Oryctolagus cuniculus: one gene and its partners. Each later gene encodes a partner of the first gene's protein in a complex. Links are inferred from orthologs where the notes say so. Each region holds a gene or a part of one and is shown in the gene's direction. Other genes may lie near its edges. The genes, in order: CNOT10, CNOT6 and CNOT6L.

Evidence for each region.
Region 2: CNOT10 (region 1) and CNOT6 share a complex: the UniProt entries of both Homo sapiens proteins name them as parts of the CCR4-NOT complex. The link is inferred for Oryctolagus cuniculus from reciprocal best matches to the Homo sapiens genes CNOT10 and CNOT6.
Region 3: CNOT10 (region 1) and CNOT6L share a complex: the UniProt entries of both Homo sapiens proteins name them as parts of the CCR4-NOT complex. The link is inferred for Oryctolagus cuniculus from reciprocal best matches to the Homo sapiens genes CNOT10 and CNOT6L.

What each region holds. Positions count from the first base shown.
Region 1 is NC_091435.1:169,324,282-169,328,904, forward strand, and holds part of CNOT10 (CCR4-NOT transcription complex subunit 10), read left to right. Parts: intron 1-520; coding exon 521-682; intron 683-4,222; coding exon 4,223-4,373; intron 4,374-4,623. UniProt on the Homo sapiens protein: Component of the CCR4-NOT complex which is one of the major cellular mRNA deadenylases and is linked to various cellular processes including bulk mRNA degradation, miRNA-mediated repression, translational repression during translational initiation and general transcription regulation.
Region 2 is NC_091437.1:67,034,776-67,039,916, reverse strand, and holds the start of CNOT6 (CCR4-NOT transcription complex subunit 6), read left to right. Parts: upstream 1-1,987; 5' UTR 1,988-2,238; exon of another isoform or gene 2,239-2,324; intron 2,325-5,141. UniProt on the Homo sapiens protein: Poly(A) nuclease with 3'-5' RNase activity.
Region 3 is NC_091439.1:88,237,996-88,242,618, forward strand, and holds part of CNOT6L (CCR4-NOT transcription complex subunit 6-like), read left to right. Parts: intron 1-1,704; coding exon 1,705-1,862; intron 1,863-4,114; coding exon 4,115-4,269; intron 4,270-4,623. UniProt on the Homo sapiens protein: Has 3'-5' poly(A) exoribonuclease activity for synthetic poly(A) RNA substrate.

The sequences.
Region 1 (4,623 bases):
CAGCCTCGCCCTGTCTGTTGAAGGCGTTTGTTGAGTGAACCAACAGAAGATTGCGTCCTTTATCTCTGTCCCTCGGCCTTTCAGATAAACAGATAGCCAAAACTTTTAAAAGTTAATTTAAAAAAACTCCAGAAGGCTATCGTCATAATTTTAGCTTTTCTAACATTAAGTGATATGAAAGAAAACTTTGATTATCAAGGTCATATATATATAGCAAAATGGGATACTTGAATATTCAAAGAAATTACAATTTGAGATACTTATATCCAACTGTATGTCTGACAGACAGATGTGTCCCTGTCAGTGTGAGTCCTAGGAAGTACATATATACAGTTTCTCAATTGACATGAAAATTGTTTCGTGTAACTGATCTGTTTGGGGGAACTATATCTTTCATTTTAAGAATATTTAAGGTAAAAATGAATACAATGTACTTGGGGATGGTTATTGTTCTGAACACTGGTATGTAATTGTATGTGTGTGTGAATGTGTGTGTGTGTTTTTGTTTTTGTTTTTTTAGTCTGGAAATTACGATGCCTGTCTACAACACCTCGCCTGTCTACAAGATATAAACAAAGATGATTATAAAATAATTTTGAATACAGCAGTAGCTGAATTTTTTAAAAGTAACCAAACAACAACAGATAATTTGAGACAAACACTTAACCAGCTGAAGAATCAGGTGATATGCAAATGAATTTAACTATTTAAAATGTTATTATATTCTTGAATTTGTGAAATATAGCTAGTTAAGGAAAATATAATTACTTGACTGATATTAATGGCATAATTTCTAATGTATCTGAAATATTTGTTGGAATTAAACTTCCTTAGTTAAAATTATTAATCTAGGCAATGAAAAATATGTTGTATGGGTTTTTTTCTGTTTTTTTTTTTTTTAATGAGCTTGAACATGATAGAACAATATGTGAAATTTGAATGGGCTTTGGAGTTTTGAAGGTTGAAGTAGAATTGTATGGAAGAACTTGGCTTCTGAGGTGCTCCTATCTTGTTAATGACTGCAGAGACAATGAGTAGTGTCTGCCTGTCCTGGCGTTTGGGATCAGGGACGGATTGTCACCGTGCGACCAGGCCCTACCAGGAACCTTATGCAGTGTCTCAGCCACTCTGCCCAGTAGTCCCGTGAGCAGCTGCCGTGGCGTCCCCTCTCGCAAGTGGGGAAGCTGAGGCATGGAGGGCGTGTACAAGACTGCGTTAGGACGAGCCTTGTGAACGCAGGCGTGTCTGCTGCAGAGCCCGCGCTCTGTCACTGCTTTGTGCTGTAGGGGCTCTTGAAACTCCGTACTGTTGTGAATACCCTGTACCGTACAGTATCAGCCTAAAGTACGGCTCAGTTGGAAATGAATATCCCTTGGGCTCTTGCTAATTCTTTCTAATTCTTTTTATTTTTTTTTAAGATTTTATTTATTTATCTGAAAGGTAGAGTTACAGACAGTGAGAGGGAGAGACAGAGGCTAATTCTTTTTTTCTTTTTTTCTTTTTTTCTTTTTTTTTTTTTTTTTTTTTTTTTTTGACAGGCAGAGTGGACAGAGACAGAGAGAAAGGCCTTCCTTTGCCGTTGGTTCACCCTCCAATGGCCGCCGTGGCTGGCACGTTGCGGCCGGCGCACCACACTGATCCGAAGGCAGGAGCCAGGTGCTTCTGGTCTCCCATGGGGTCCAGGGCCCAAGCACTTGGGCCATCCTCCACTGCACTCCCTGGCCACAGCAGAGAGCTGGCCTGGAAGAGGGGCAACCGGGACAGAATCCGGCGCCCCGCCCGGGACTAGAACCCGGTGTGCCAGCGCCGCAAGGCAGAGGATTAGCCTAGTAAGCCACGGCGCCGGCCACTAATTCTTTTTTGAGGTCATTTTTTTGACTCTACGAAAATTCTTTATCAAAGAATGAGAACAGCCAACATTTATTGATTGACTACTGAATGCCAGATTCTGTATTAAGCACTTCTTCTGCCTTATCTCATAAAATCCTTACATTCAACCCTTGAGGAAGATACTTGTTATTGGGGTTTAGGAAGTCCAATGATTTTAATTTATGCAACTAGTAAGGGGAGGAGCAGGATTTGAAGTGAACCTCCTGCATGTGTAGCCCCCTTGGTGTTCCTAGACCATCACCTTCCGTTGTAACTTTACACGTGACTCTCTCTGGAGTTCCAGGATCAGAGGAAAGATGACGTTTGCCCCTACCTAGGGTGACACCCCTCTGCTCCATGGGCCATTTCCTTCAAAGTCATGGAAATGTTCTCTTAGAATACAGGGTTTGTGCAAGCTTACTGTTAAGCCAAGAAAACCTGCTTTTTGAAGTCCTTTTGTTGGTCCAGTGCCTTCCGAGCATTTGGTTTCCTAGAAGTGTTTGTACTTAATGTCTTCTGGCTTCTCTAAGTCGCGTGTCCACGGTCGCGTGTCTTAGGGGCAGTGACATGGTTTTTCCACCTACTCCACTTTCATCAATGTTTTATCTCCTTGATCGAGCAATCTTGTTCTGCCTTCAGCAGTTATTGGATTATTTTTGGTGAATCATAAAAAATGTGGCAGTTATTCAAGTGGTAAATTCAGCCGGAGCTGAATTCAGACCGCTTTGTCTGAAATACCCCTCGCTGGTTAAAAATTAGAATTAGCCCTTCCTTAGCTCATTCTTTCTCTGAGTTCTTTCTTTTTAAGGAGACGATCTTTAATCATTTGCAGATAGAAACTTGAAATGGGAAGGATGTCATAAAGAGCTCCCAGGGACCGGCGCTGTGGCGTAGCAGGCAAAGCCTCTGCCGGCGCCAGCATCCCATATGGGTGCCAATTCCTGTCCTGCCTGCTCCACTGCCGATCCAGCTCTCTGCTTTGGCCTCGGAGAGCGAAAGATTGCCTAAGTGCTTTGGCCCCTGCACCCATGTGTGAGACCCAGAGGAAGATCCTGGCTCCTGGCTCCTGGCTTTGGATCAGCTCAGCTCCAGCTGTTGTGGCCATCTGGGGAGAGAATCAGCAGATGGAAGATCTCGGTCTCTGTCTCTTCTTCTCTCTGTAGCTCTACTTTTCAAATAAATAAAATCTTAAAAAAAAAAAAAAATCTCCCAGACTCAATGAAGTGTACACGCTGGTGGTCGTCAGGTACCATTTGCTAATATTTACCCTGTGTTGGGCTCACCACAGTGACGAGTCTGCGGAAGTCCAGTTACAGATCACGCTGTGTTCTGAACCCTCGGGTTCTTACCATTAGCCAGGCAGAGGTTGGTAAGGCCACGTGCCACAGTTCCCCTGCATGACTTAGGGAAGTGTCATTAGTTATATGAGAATTAATTATGTAGTGTTACAGTCGTTTATTGCAGTCTTCATAATGACAGTGGATTAGTGTTAACATAGGTGGAATTCCAATTGCATGTATTATATGGAATTAAGAATGGCTTACAAGCCCATTGCCCCAGTTCAGGGAAGGGGCTCTACAAATGTCATGAGCTTTAAAATATAAGTGTTGATTCTTGTTCTTCTGATCGGCTTGAGAGCTAGGGTTTCAGAATAGCCCTTGAGAGCCTGTTCTGACCATCTTGTGTGACATCGTGTATTTTTGGTTTTCATTACTTTAGAAAAATCTGTTCTTTTTAATTGGGAACAGAATCTGAAAATATGCTTCCTAGCCATGTATCCTTGGATAGCATAATGAAGCATTCTGTGCTGGTTTCCACGATTATAAAATGGAGATTCCATGTATGTCCTAGAGGGTAGAGAGGATTAACCTGGCAGGCCTGGCGCACGGTAAGTACTTAGCTGCTGCTGTTAATGTTTACATTTCACTTTAGTTTTTACAACATGGAATCCAGCCGTCCGTATCGTATAATGCTTTGTGGGGAGAGGCCATTTGGGGTTTTGCCCCTTCTCCGTGTTGACTCTGGCAGTGCAGGAAGCTGGAAGTGGGCGTCCCGCTCGGAAGCCACAGCGGGGAAGGTACCGTCAGCGTGGCGAGGAAGAGCCGGGCCCTGCCGTGTGCAGGGTATTTAATAAAGTGCAGCAAAGCTGTCTGCTTAGGAGATTTGTATTCTGCTTGGACAGATGAATGACACGATTTTTACAGCGCGAGAGTGATCAGAAGACAGCGGTCCTGTTGGAAGTGTGGGGAAGTCCAGACTGAGGGGTGCTGGCCCGGGTCCCTGCTTGCTGTGGGTTATTTCACTCTCTTCCTTCCTCACAGTCAGAACACAGTCGTGGCTTGTCGTTTCGCAGGTGCACTCAGCTGTTGAAGAAATGGATGGGCTAGACGACGTGGAGAACAGCGTGCTGTATTACAACCAGGCAGTCGTTCTGTACCACCTGCGGCAGCACACGGAGGCCATATCCGTCGGCGAGAAGCTCTATCAGTTCATAGAACCTTTTGGTAGGTTATCTGGCAGGTCAGGAACTTCCTTATCAACCCCTGCTCACAGAGCTCCCTGGTGCTTCGTACCTATATGTCAGTAATTGTCTCTAGAGCTACGTGAGCTTTTCCTAATGGTTAAAAAGACTGAAATTATCTTTTGGCCTTTAGCTGAATCCAGGTTTTCTTTCAACGTCTCTTGCCAATTTTTGAAGGTAACTGTGAGAAACACTGATGGAAAGACTTCCTGGCTTTTGCTGTATTTTGTTTT
Region 2 (5,141 bases), on another chromosome or scaffold:
TTCTCCCACTGTGTGAGGAGGCCAGCTGGGAGAACAGAGTGAGATTGATTTTTTTTCAAGATTTATTTATTTATTTGAAAGGCAGAGTTACAGAGAGGCAGAGGTAGAGAGAGAGAGAGGTCTTCCATCCGCTAGTTCACTCCCCCAATTGGCCGCAACGGTCGGAGCTGCACTGATCTGAAGCCAGGAGTCAGGAGCAGGAGCTTCTTCCAGATCTCCCATGTGGGTGCAGGGGCCCAAGGACTTGGGCCATCTCCTACATTTTTTCCCAGGCCATAGCAGAGAGCTGGATCAGAAGTGGAGCAGCTGAGAATTGAACCAGTGCCCATATGGGATGCTGGCACTGCAGGCGGCAGCTTTACCTGCTTCGCCACAGTGCCAGCCCAGAGATTGATCCTCTTATGGTGCCTGCAAGATTTAGTTATGTAACACCTGAATGAAGAAATAACCTCTTTTTTGCATAAGCCAATTTGAGTGACACTGCAACTGGATCTGAAAGGATGAACAGACATTTTACGGAGTTCTCCCCAGCTATGCAAAGAACATAATGTGCACAGGTTGGGTTGATACAGTTTCCACCCTCCACCCCATGGGGGCTAGTCCAGAGTTGACTCCAAACAAGTCTGTGGCATGGCTACTTCTGTGCTACCATGTATTTTGTGATGCAACCATTCTTGCCGTCCACCACACATACTGTGCCAATCATGAGTAAATAGCCCACTGTGGGCTGAGTAATTACAGAAAAGCACCCCTTTCTGCAGGCCAGAGCACTGGCTGCCGGGGCACAAGCACACGTGCCTGCCCTGCTGTCCCCTCAGCCTGGTACACAACTCCAGCAGCCTAGGGGCTGGTGGCCATGCTGGGCTGCTTGTTTTTACTGATCCCTACCTGTGTTGGGCTTACTGCCAGTGCCCTGCCCTGTCCCGTGTCCCGACCCTACCATTCCAGGCTGTCACTGCTTATGTCTTGGCAAAGGGCAGGCAATGCCCATCTCAAGGCAATTCTGGGGAGGAGCAAGTGTGGTTGCCTTTTAGGCCTATGCTTGTCCTGCCAAGTCTGTACCCAAGCAACAGCCCCTCTCCTTCCACACCCCCTGGAGCTGGAGGCAGTGGGTGAGTGAGGATCTCACCTGTTAGCTCTTGGAAGCCATCTCACGCTCATCTCTCAGGGTTGACTTTCCAGGCAAGATCCTGTCCTGTTGTGTCATTTAGGTGGATGGGCTTCAGTTCCTTTGTACCATACACCTCTGACTTTCCAGCTGTCTTGCCCCTATCAGTAGTTCGGGCAGGGTGAGGTCTGAGTCACCCCTGTGTCCTTTTCTCTGTTCACCAAACACCACGGCCTGCCCTGAATAGAACCTCTTGGTCTTTGAATGCAATTATGGGTGGTTTCACAGGCGAGGCCAATGCCACCAAAACCATCCATTAACTTGCAGGACTGAAACGGCCCACGTGCGTATTTTTTTCTGCATAACTGGACCAGGCAGAATTACAGGGCTGCTCAGGACCACCCGAAGTATTGCCTTTAGGCAGATTAAGATACTGGTTTAAGGTCAAAAGTCCCAAGCCTGTCTGTGTTCCCACGTGTTGACAGGCTAAGGCTTAAGGCAAAGGAGGAGACTCAAGGAAGAAGAGGGAAAAGATGAGATAAAGGAGAACCACCTGAGGCGAAAAGAGCAAGAAGGAAAAAGGAAGAGGCTTAACAACAGCAGAAAACAGAGAGGCGGGTCAGGGACTCAGAGCTCAGAGGGAAGAGAGGGCGGGAGGGCGGGCGGGCGGGGTGGAGAGCGCCGGGCCGGCTCACTGCGCTCCTGCGCGGGGGGGGGGGTAAGGGGGCGGGGCCTGGGTACCCTCCCGGGGGAGGCCGATGGTATCTCCCGCCGGCGTCGGCCAATGGGCAGCCGGGATGTTAGAGCGGCGGCGGCGGCCGGGCTGGGGGACGGCGGCCGCCGCCATGATGCTTGTTTGCTTTCAATGAAAACGAGGGGGGCGCGGAAGAGGAGGCGGCGGCGTCGGTGGCGGCGGCGTCGGCGGCGCGGGAGCGAAGGCGGCGGCGGGCGCAGCGCGGAGGGCGAGGCCGGGAGCCGAGAGAGCAGGAAGGTGTAGCGGCGGCCCATCGGGGCGTCTGAGGCCGGCGGCTGGAGCGGCAGCGCTCGGAGGGGAACAAAAGAGCGGCGGCTGAGGCGGCAGACGAGCGGCGGCGGCGGCGGCGGCGGCGCTGCAGCAGCGGGCGGGACTGGTATGGTGGTTCCACAGGTCAGACCCCGCTGCACTCACAGGGAGGAGGCGGCGGCAGCGGCGGAGGAGGGCGGCGCCCCTCGAGAGGTGAGCGAGGCGGGCCCGCGGGCCGGCCGCGCTCGGAGCCCGCTCGGTCGTGCCCGGGCTGGAGTTCCGCGGGCGCCGGGCCCGCTGCCTCGGGCAGGCGGGCGGCTGTGGCGGCCCGCGATCCCGCCCCCCCCCCCCCCCCCCCCCGAGCGCTGGCTGGGGGCGCTGCTGGACGGCGGCGGCGCGCAGGGGGGCGGGCCCGGCCCCGCCGAGCCGAGGAGCAGTCCCGGGCCCGGAGTGCCGAGGCGCAAGTGGCGCGCCGTGGAGCGTGGAACGTCGCAGTTACTGCCGAGCGGGAAGCCGACTGTTACCCCTCCCCCCGAATTGTTTAACATTGTCTGACGCCGACTTTCTTTTGGGGAGGGGGTGTTGCGAGGGTAGAGCTCACCTAGCACCGGGTGAAGAGATCTGTTTTACCGTGTTGCTACGACTCGCCTGTGGGCAGTCCCGTCGCTGCGAGCAGTTTTCTCCGGTAGCCCCAGGCACATCTCTTTTTTTATTTTTCAACACCCGGCGTTATTTTCGTTGGAAACTTTTTCCCCATCGACTCTTTTCCTCCTCTGCCTTGCATCCAGCACCTGTAACCTTATTTTATTTAACTTACTGCAGATGACAACAGTGTGACTGGTCATCTTGCTCGGCCACCTCGGATTTGTTGATGTGTTCAACTGACACAGTTTATAGAATGCTTGGATTTGAGTTCTTGTACTTAAAACCTGTTTTCTAGGTACATTGTCTCATCGCTGGCTGCTTGAGCGCCTTGCCTGCTTGTGTCTGGGGCTTTAACTTTACAGTGGGTATGAATAAGGGAAAAATAAACTGGTGTGTAGTAGCGCTTCGTATTTTTCACAATACAGTAGACTTTAACATTGCTCTAAAATAGTTCTGAAGGCTGTAGGAGCTGATGTGGCCTGTGAGAAATCGGCTTTTTTTTTAATTGCAGTGAAGACAGTCACCATAGTCTTTAGAATGTGATGAAGTCTTAAAGACTGCTTAGTATCTTTAGACCAGTGATCTAGTCCAGTCTTCTTGCCTCAAATGAACTATTTGAACAGCTGCTGATGAGGAAAGTGAAGTGCTCAGTGGTCAAAGCCACTTGCCCGAGATACTGCAATCAGAAGGGAAAGGACCAGGTTTTGTGTGCATGAGCATGTGATGTGATTGGGTGATGTCACTGCCTGACATTCTTTGGGGAGAGCAGGGGCTGTTTGGTTGAAGTTACTTAAGGTTGTTTACTCTGATCAGTTCTCAATAAGTGACCAAGATGTTTAAAGACATGCTAAAAAGAGTTTGTGACTTAAGACATATATTTTCTTTTGAGACTTCACATTCTCTGTGAAATCTATCCTTGGCATAATTTTAAGTGTATTCATCAGTGGTGATGTGGTTGAAGAAGCTGGGTTTGAATGCCTGTTCAATTGGAAGGTATTTTCACTCTTTTTTTTTTTTTTTTTTTAACCTGTTGGCAAAGTCACACTACAATTACTGGGAAACTTCAGATTGTTTTCTTTTGAACAGACAAGGCTGTGGTTTGTAAGAACTTGGGCTGCAAATAAAAGTGTTACAAGAATTTGCCCACTAGTAGTATATAAATATACATTTTGGTTGATACCCAGATATTCATTCCACTGTACACATATTAACCTTCTTATAGTCTTTTCATATCAGTGGTGCAACAGGAAAGAATATTATTATCTAAGGCCTACTGGAATAAATGTTGAGGGCTGCTTATAGCAGGAACCTTGGGGCTGTGAGGGGTGAGAGTTCAATATCTTTTTTTTTTTTTTTTTAATTTATTTGACAGATAGAGTTAGAGAGAGAGAGAGAGAGAGACAGAGAGAAAGGTCTTTCTTCTGTTGGTTCACCCCCCAGATGGCTGCTACAGCCGACGCTGCGCCGATCCGAAGCCATGAGCCAGGTGCTTCCTCCTGGTCTCCCATCCGGGTGCAGGGCCAAGCACTTGGGCCATCCTCCACTGCCTTCCCAGGTCACAGCAGAGAGCTGGACTGGAAGAGGAGCAACTGGGACTAGAACCCGGGGCCCATATGGTATGCCGGCACTGCAGGTGGAGGATTAACCAAGTGAGCCACGCCGCTGGCCCTATCAATATCTTAAGCACTTTGTTTTTTTTTTTAAAGATACTTTTTTTTTTTTTTTTTTTTTTTTATTTGAAAGGCAGAGAGGGGGAGAGACAGCAAATCTTCTATTTGCTGGTTCCCTTCACAAATGGCTGCAATGACCGGGGCTGGGCTGGGCCAGGCTGAAGCCAGGAGCCTGGAAATCTGTCTGGGTCTCACTTGTGGGTGGTAGGGGCCCAAGCACTTGGGCTGTCTTGCTGCTTTCCCAGGTGCATTAGCCAGAGGTAGATTGGAAGTGGAACAGTGAGGACTCGAACCAGTGGTTGTATGGGATGCAGATGGCGGCTTCACCCACTGCATCACCACATCAGCCCCTTTACAGCACTTTTGTAACCCATTTCCATGTGCTAGGTTAACTGTTGGAGAGAAACACTGCTTTTAAAGCATTTATCACTTTGGAAAAGTTCAGGTAGGTTTAGATAGGAGCATGTATTTTACTGGAGAAAAGATTTTGATTCGTGTATATGCAGAACTGTTTGCACTTTTGTTGTGATTGGAAATTAGTACATTATCTAGAGGAGTTTTCATTTTAATTTTAAAATTCCCTAACTTCTGGCAGGCGCTGCGGCTCACTAGGCTAATCCTCCGCCTTGCGGCGCCGGCACACCGGGTTCTAGTCCCGGTCGGGGCACCGGATTCTGTCCCAGTTGCCCCTCTTCCAGGCCAGCTCTCTGCTGTG
Region 3 (4,623 bases), on another chromosome or scaffold:
ATGAATTTTTTTCTGGAAAGTTTTTAAGTACTTAGGCACTTACCTTTCTTGAGAGGTAGGCTGATAACTTTTTTAGAATATATAGAAAGATTTGTTTGTTTATTTAGAAGGCAGAGTGACAGGGAGAGAAGGAAAGACAGAGCCAGAGTGAGCTTTCATTTGCTGGTTTCTTTGAATATATTTCTCATCATCTGAAACTGAACCAACATCAGTCAAGTGTTCCTTAACCTTAGGTTCTTCACATCTTTTTTGAATAAATAATTCTCATTTATTTCTTGCCATTGGTCTCACCAAGGGTTTGTTTTTTTTTTTTTTTAAATAGAAATACGTGGACGCTGACATTCTGACTCAGTCTGGACACAGTGCTTGGAATCAGCAATTGTTTTTGCTTTTGTTTTAAGTTTGCCAAAGTGGTTCTGATGGGGAAGCAAGGCTAGAGGATAACTGATGAAGATTAGAATTTTTTCCGTATTTTAACATGCACATGCCTATGAATTACTTGGGAATTTTGTTAAGCTATTCAGCAGTTACATTTTGGTTAAGCTATTCAGCAGTTACATTTCAAAGCTCCCAGGTGATGTGTAGCTGATGCTACCGGTCCTTAAAGTACACTTAAAGCAAACCATCTTCTCCTATTAGTTTGTTCACAGTCCATTTATTATTCAGGGTCATTACAAAAATTATTTGAGAGAGAGACAGAGGAGAGCTCTCTTCACTGTCCAAACGCCTGCAATGCCAGGCACTGGGCCAGGCTGAGCTGAAGCCAGGAGCTGAGAACTGAATCATGTGGGTGGCAGGAACCAACTACTTGAACCGTCACTCCTGTCTCCAGGTCTGCATTAGCAAGAGGCTAGAGGCAGGTGTTGGACTCAGGTACTCCGATGAGATGAAGGCATCTTGGTCTTTTTCTTTTCTTTTCTTTCTTCTTTTTTCTTTTTTTAGATTTATTTATTTATTAGAAAGGCAGTTACAGAGAAGCAAAGGCAGAGAGAGAGAATGGTCTTCCATCCGCTGGTTCACTCCCCAAATGGCCGTAATGGCCGGAACCAGGAGCCAGGATCCTCTTCTGGGTCTCCTATACGGGTGCAGGGGCACAAGGACTTGGGCCACCTTCCACTGCCTAAGCATCTTAACTGCTAGGCCAAATGCATATCTTAATTCAAGAATATTTTAAGATGAGAATTTCGTTTGACAAATGAACATTTGATTGGCAAAAAGTATTCTCTTGTAACTAAATTTTGTTATAGTCTTTACTATTCTAGCTCAGAATAGGGTCAGCAGTACAAGACCCAGAAGAGTTTTTAGATAGTATGTTAATAAAAAGTAATGAAGTTAGAGTCCTTTAATTAGAAGGAAACTAAAATGTGCTTTTGTTCCACTGTACAGAGAAGCTTTTCTTGGCAAATTATGTACAAAAGTTAGCATGCTGATTTAAAATGAGTTTTTTTATTTATTGAAATTTCCTCAAAAATCTCAAGTATGAACAACATTCTAATTCAAGAATAGTAAAGAACTTAAATATGATGTATTCTAATGAAATTTTAGTATTTCTATTTTAGTATTTACTATGTTAATTTTCCTCTAGTCTTTTATAAAGATGATTTTTGGATTATATATGTATTCTTTTGCAGGTTATGCATGATACTGCTTTAGTAAAAGTTGCCTAATTTTCTCCCTGTTTTTTGTTTTTCTCCCACTTCTTAGCATCATTCACGGTTATGTGTTACAATGTGTTATGTGATAAATACGCCACCCGGCAGCTATATGGCTATTGCCCCTCCTGGGCATTAAACTGGGAATACAGGAAAAAGGGAATTATGGAAGAAATTGTTAACTGTGACGCAGATATCATTAGTCTTCAGGTAACACTATAGAGATTAAATTGTCTTTAACTTAAAGGTGAACTTAAAAATAATAGAAGTTCTTCCCTCTGGGAGAGATCCTTTGTTTGAAGTGAAACTCTAAAGGAATTATTTTCTTTCTCTTAAAAAAGGAACAGTTTTAATTAGCATTTAAGATATTCCACAGGGAAACTGTGTTGCTTAGTACAGCCATCCACTTAACATTAATTTGCTATTTTCTTAAATGAAAAAATAATCTTACCCATTACTCATGTTACGAGTTCATTCTATGAAAAAACCTTTGGTATTACTGAAAGAGAAAACTACAAATGATTGCTGAATCTTTTAGGAATATAAATTTAACTTACAATAGAGTTGTTAAGAAGAAAAAGTGCTTCCCCACAGTTAAAATATTATATTGTAAGTCATGCGTTTTTGCCCTACTTTGTAAGGAATTTACTCATCTGTTTTATAATTTTATTGTAACAAAGACTGAAAAATAGTCCTTTTCATGGAATATGTATCACTTTTTTTCAACATTTGGCTAATAATTAGGTAAAAAATTTATCCAGTTAAAAAGTAATTTTTTTCAGCTACTTTCCTTAGCTACTTTCAAAGCATTTTAAAGACTTAAAATTTTTTTTTTAACGTTTTGATTTGACAAATAAGAATTGTTTATATTTGGGAGAGCAGTGTGATATTTTTGATACATTTGTACATTGTAGAATGAGCAAATCAGGGTAATTAACATTTGTCACATTGGTTAAGTATTTCTTTTTTTGAAAGATTTATTTGTTTGAGAGGCAGTGTTATAGACAGAGGGAGGGACAGATAGAGAGGTCTTCCATCCACTGGTTCACTTCCTAAATGGCTGTAACAGCTGGAGGTCAGCTAATCTGAAGCTAGGAGCCAGGAGCTGCTTCTTTGTTTCCTGTGCTGGTATAGAGGCCCAAGCAATTGGGCCATCTTCCACTGCTTTCCCAGGCCATAAGCAGAGTGCTGGATCAGAAGAGAAGCAGCTTGGCACGAACGAGCACCTGCAGCCAGTGCTGCAGGCGGAGGTTTAACCTACTATGCTACAGTGCCAGCCCCTATTTTTCTGTTGTCTTGGAAATAACAAGAAGTAAACATCTTCAAAATTAAAAATATTCTTCTGAACACTAAGACTGACACAGAGTTGAGGGGAGGAAGAGGCAACCAAAATTAGACTGTTGTAGTTACTTGATTCGGTTTCATATATACAGTAGTAGTCTTGGTCTTCTAAGTACAGCTTAAAGAATAAAAACAGTTCAAGAAAATTGCTTTTCTGTGTTAAAATAATACCATGTTATAAAGTGTTTATTTTAGGGAAATTTAAATTTGCGAGAAAAGATAAAGTATTATGGAAAAAAACAATCTCATTCCTTGTCTCAAAGATAATTGCTCTGTCAAAACATCTAGAGTGTTTTCTGCATATTTTCTTTGTATTCACTTATGAATTTATTTACAGAATATTTTCAAGATAAAATTGAGACCTTAATGTTGGTATATTTTCCTTTTTGTTATAATTGTGTTTAATGCACTATTCATGTTACTAAAATTCTTAAAAACACATTAATATGTGAATATTTATTAATATAGCCTTTTCTGTACTGTTAGAAATCTAATTTTTTTGGTGTTTTGCTTTTTCCAAATTATGCTGTTTTGAGCATTTATATACATCATTATCTTTGTATTTGATTATTTCATTTTGAAATTTGTTAAAAATATTTAAGGGTCAAGGGATAAATTAGTCTAACTCAATTGTTAAATTAGCAGAGAACAAATAATGATTGACAACTCCCTAAAATATGTTAAAGTAGAATTTTTTAATCTGTTTTTCTCATTTTGGGATATCATTCCTTTTCATCATGGTTCAGCAGAATAAATAATTTTAAAACATACCTTTTTATATATCAAATTTACTGTTCCATTCTACCTTATTGGTCATATACTAAATTTACTTATTTGTTTTGGGGGAAGTATAGTGGAATGGAGTCAGGAGACCCAGGTTGTAATCTTGCTCCAGCTACTAACTACCTGTGTAAGCATGTGACGTTCAGGTCACTCTTCTGTTTTCCTCATGTTTAAGGAGTTAGCATTGTCAAATGGCAGTTGCTAGCAGTAAAGTAAGATGGTCACCTGTCATGCGAACTATTTTAATTTAATCAAGCCTACTTATAATGCTGAACATTTTCATATCTTAGCCGAAGTTATATAATGTCATGTAGATGATAACTTTTCTTTCATCTCAGGAAGTGGAAACAGAGCAATACTTCACTCTCTTTCTGCCAGCATTGAAGGAGCGTGGATATGATGGATTTTTTTCTCCAAAGTCACGTGCCAAAATCATGTCTGAGCAGGAGAGAAAGCATGTGGATGGTTGTGCAATATTCTTCAAAACAGAAAAGTGAGTTTAGGAAACAAAGCACAAAAGTCGAAACTTATTTCTTTTAATTATCACACATCTAAACTTTTCTTTGGTTTGACCCTTTAAAATAACAAAAAGCTAGAAAGCAAGTGTTGTACAATTTGAAAAACTGTTGTTAATGATTTATTTCTTAGGCCATGTTTTGGAAACAAGGATGCTTAGTATTCTATATATCTTTATTGCCAAATAACAAAATTTCTGAGACTTGAATATGGTTTTAAAATTGTGTTTAAGAATATATTTTCATAAAGTAAAATTTTTATGTAAAAAACTTACCTTTTAAGATTATCAATGTGAAATTGGATTTTTTATAGTTGACCTTTTTTCAGAATT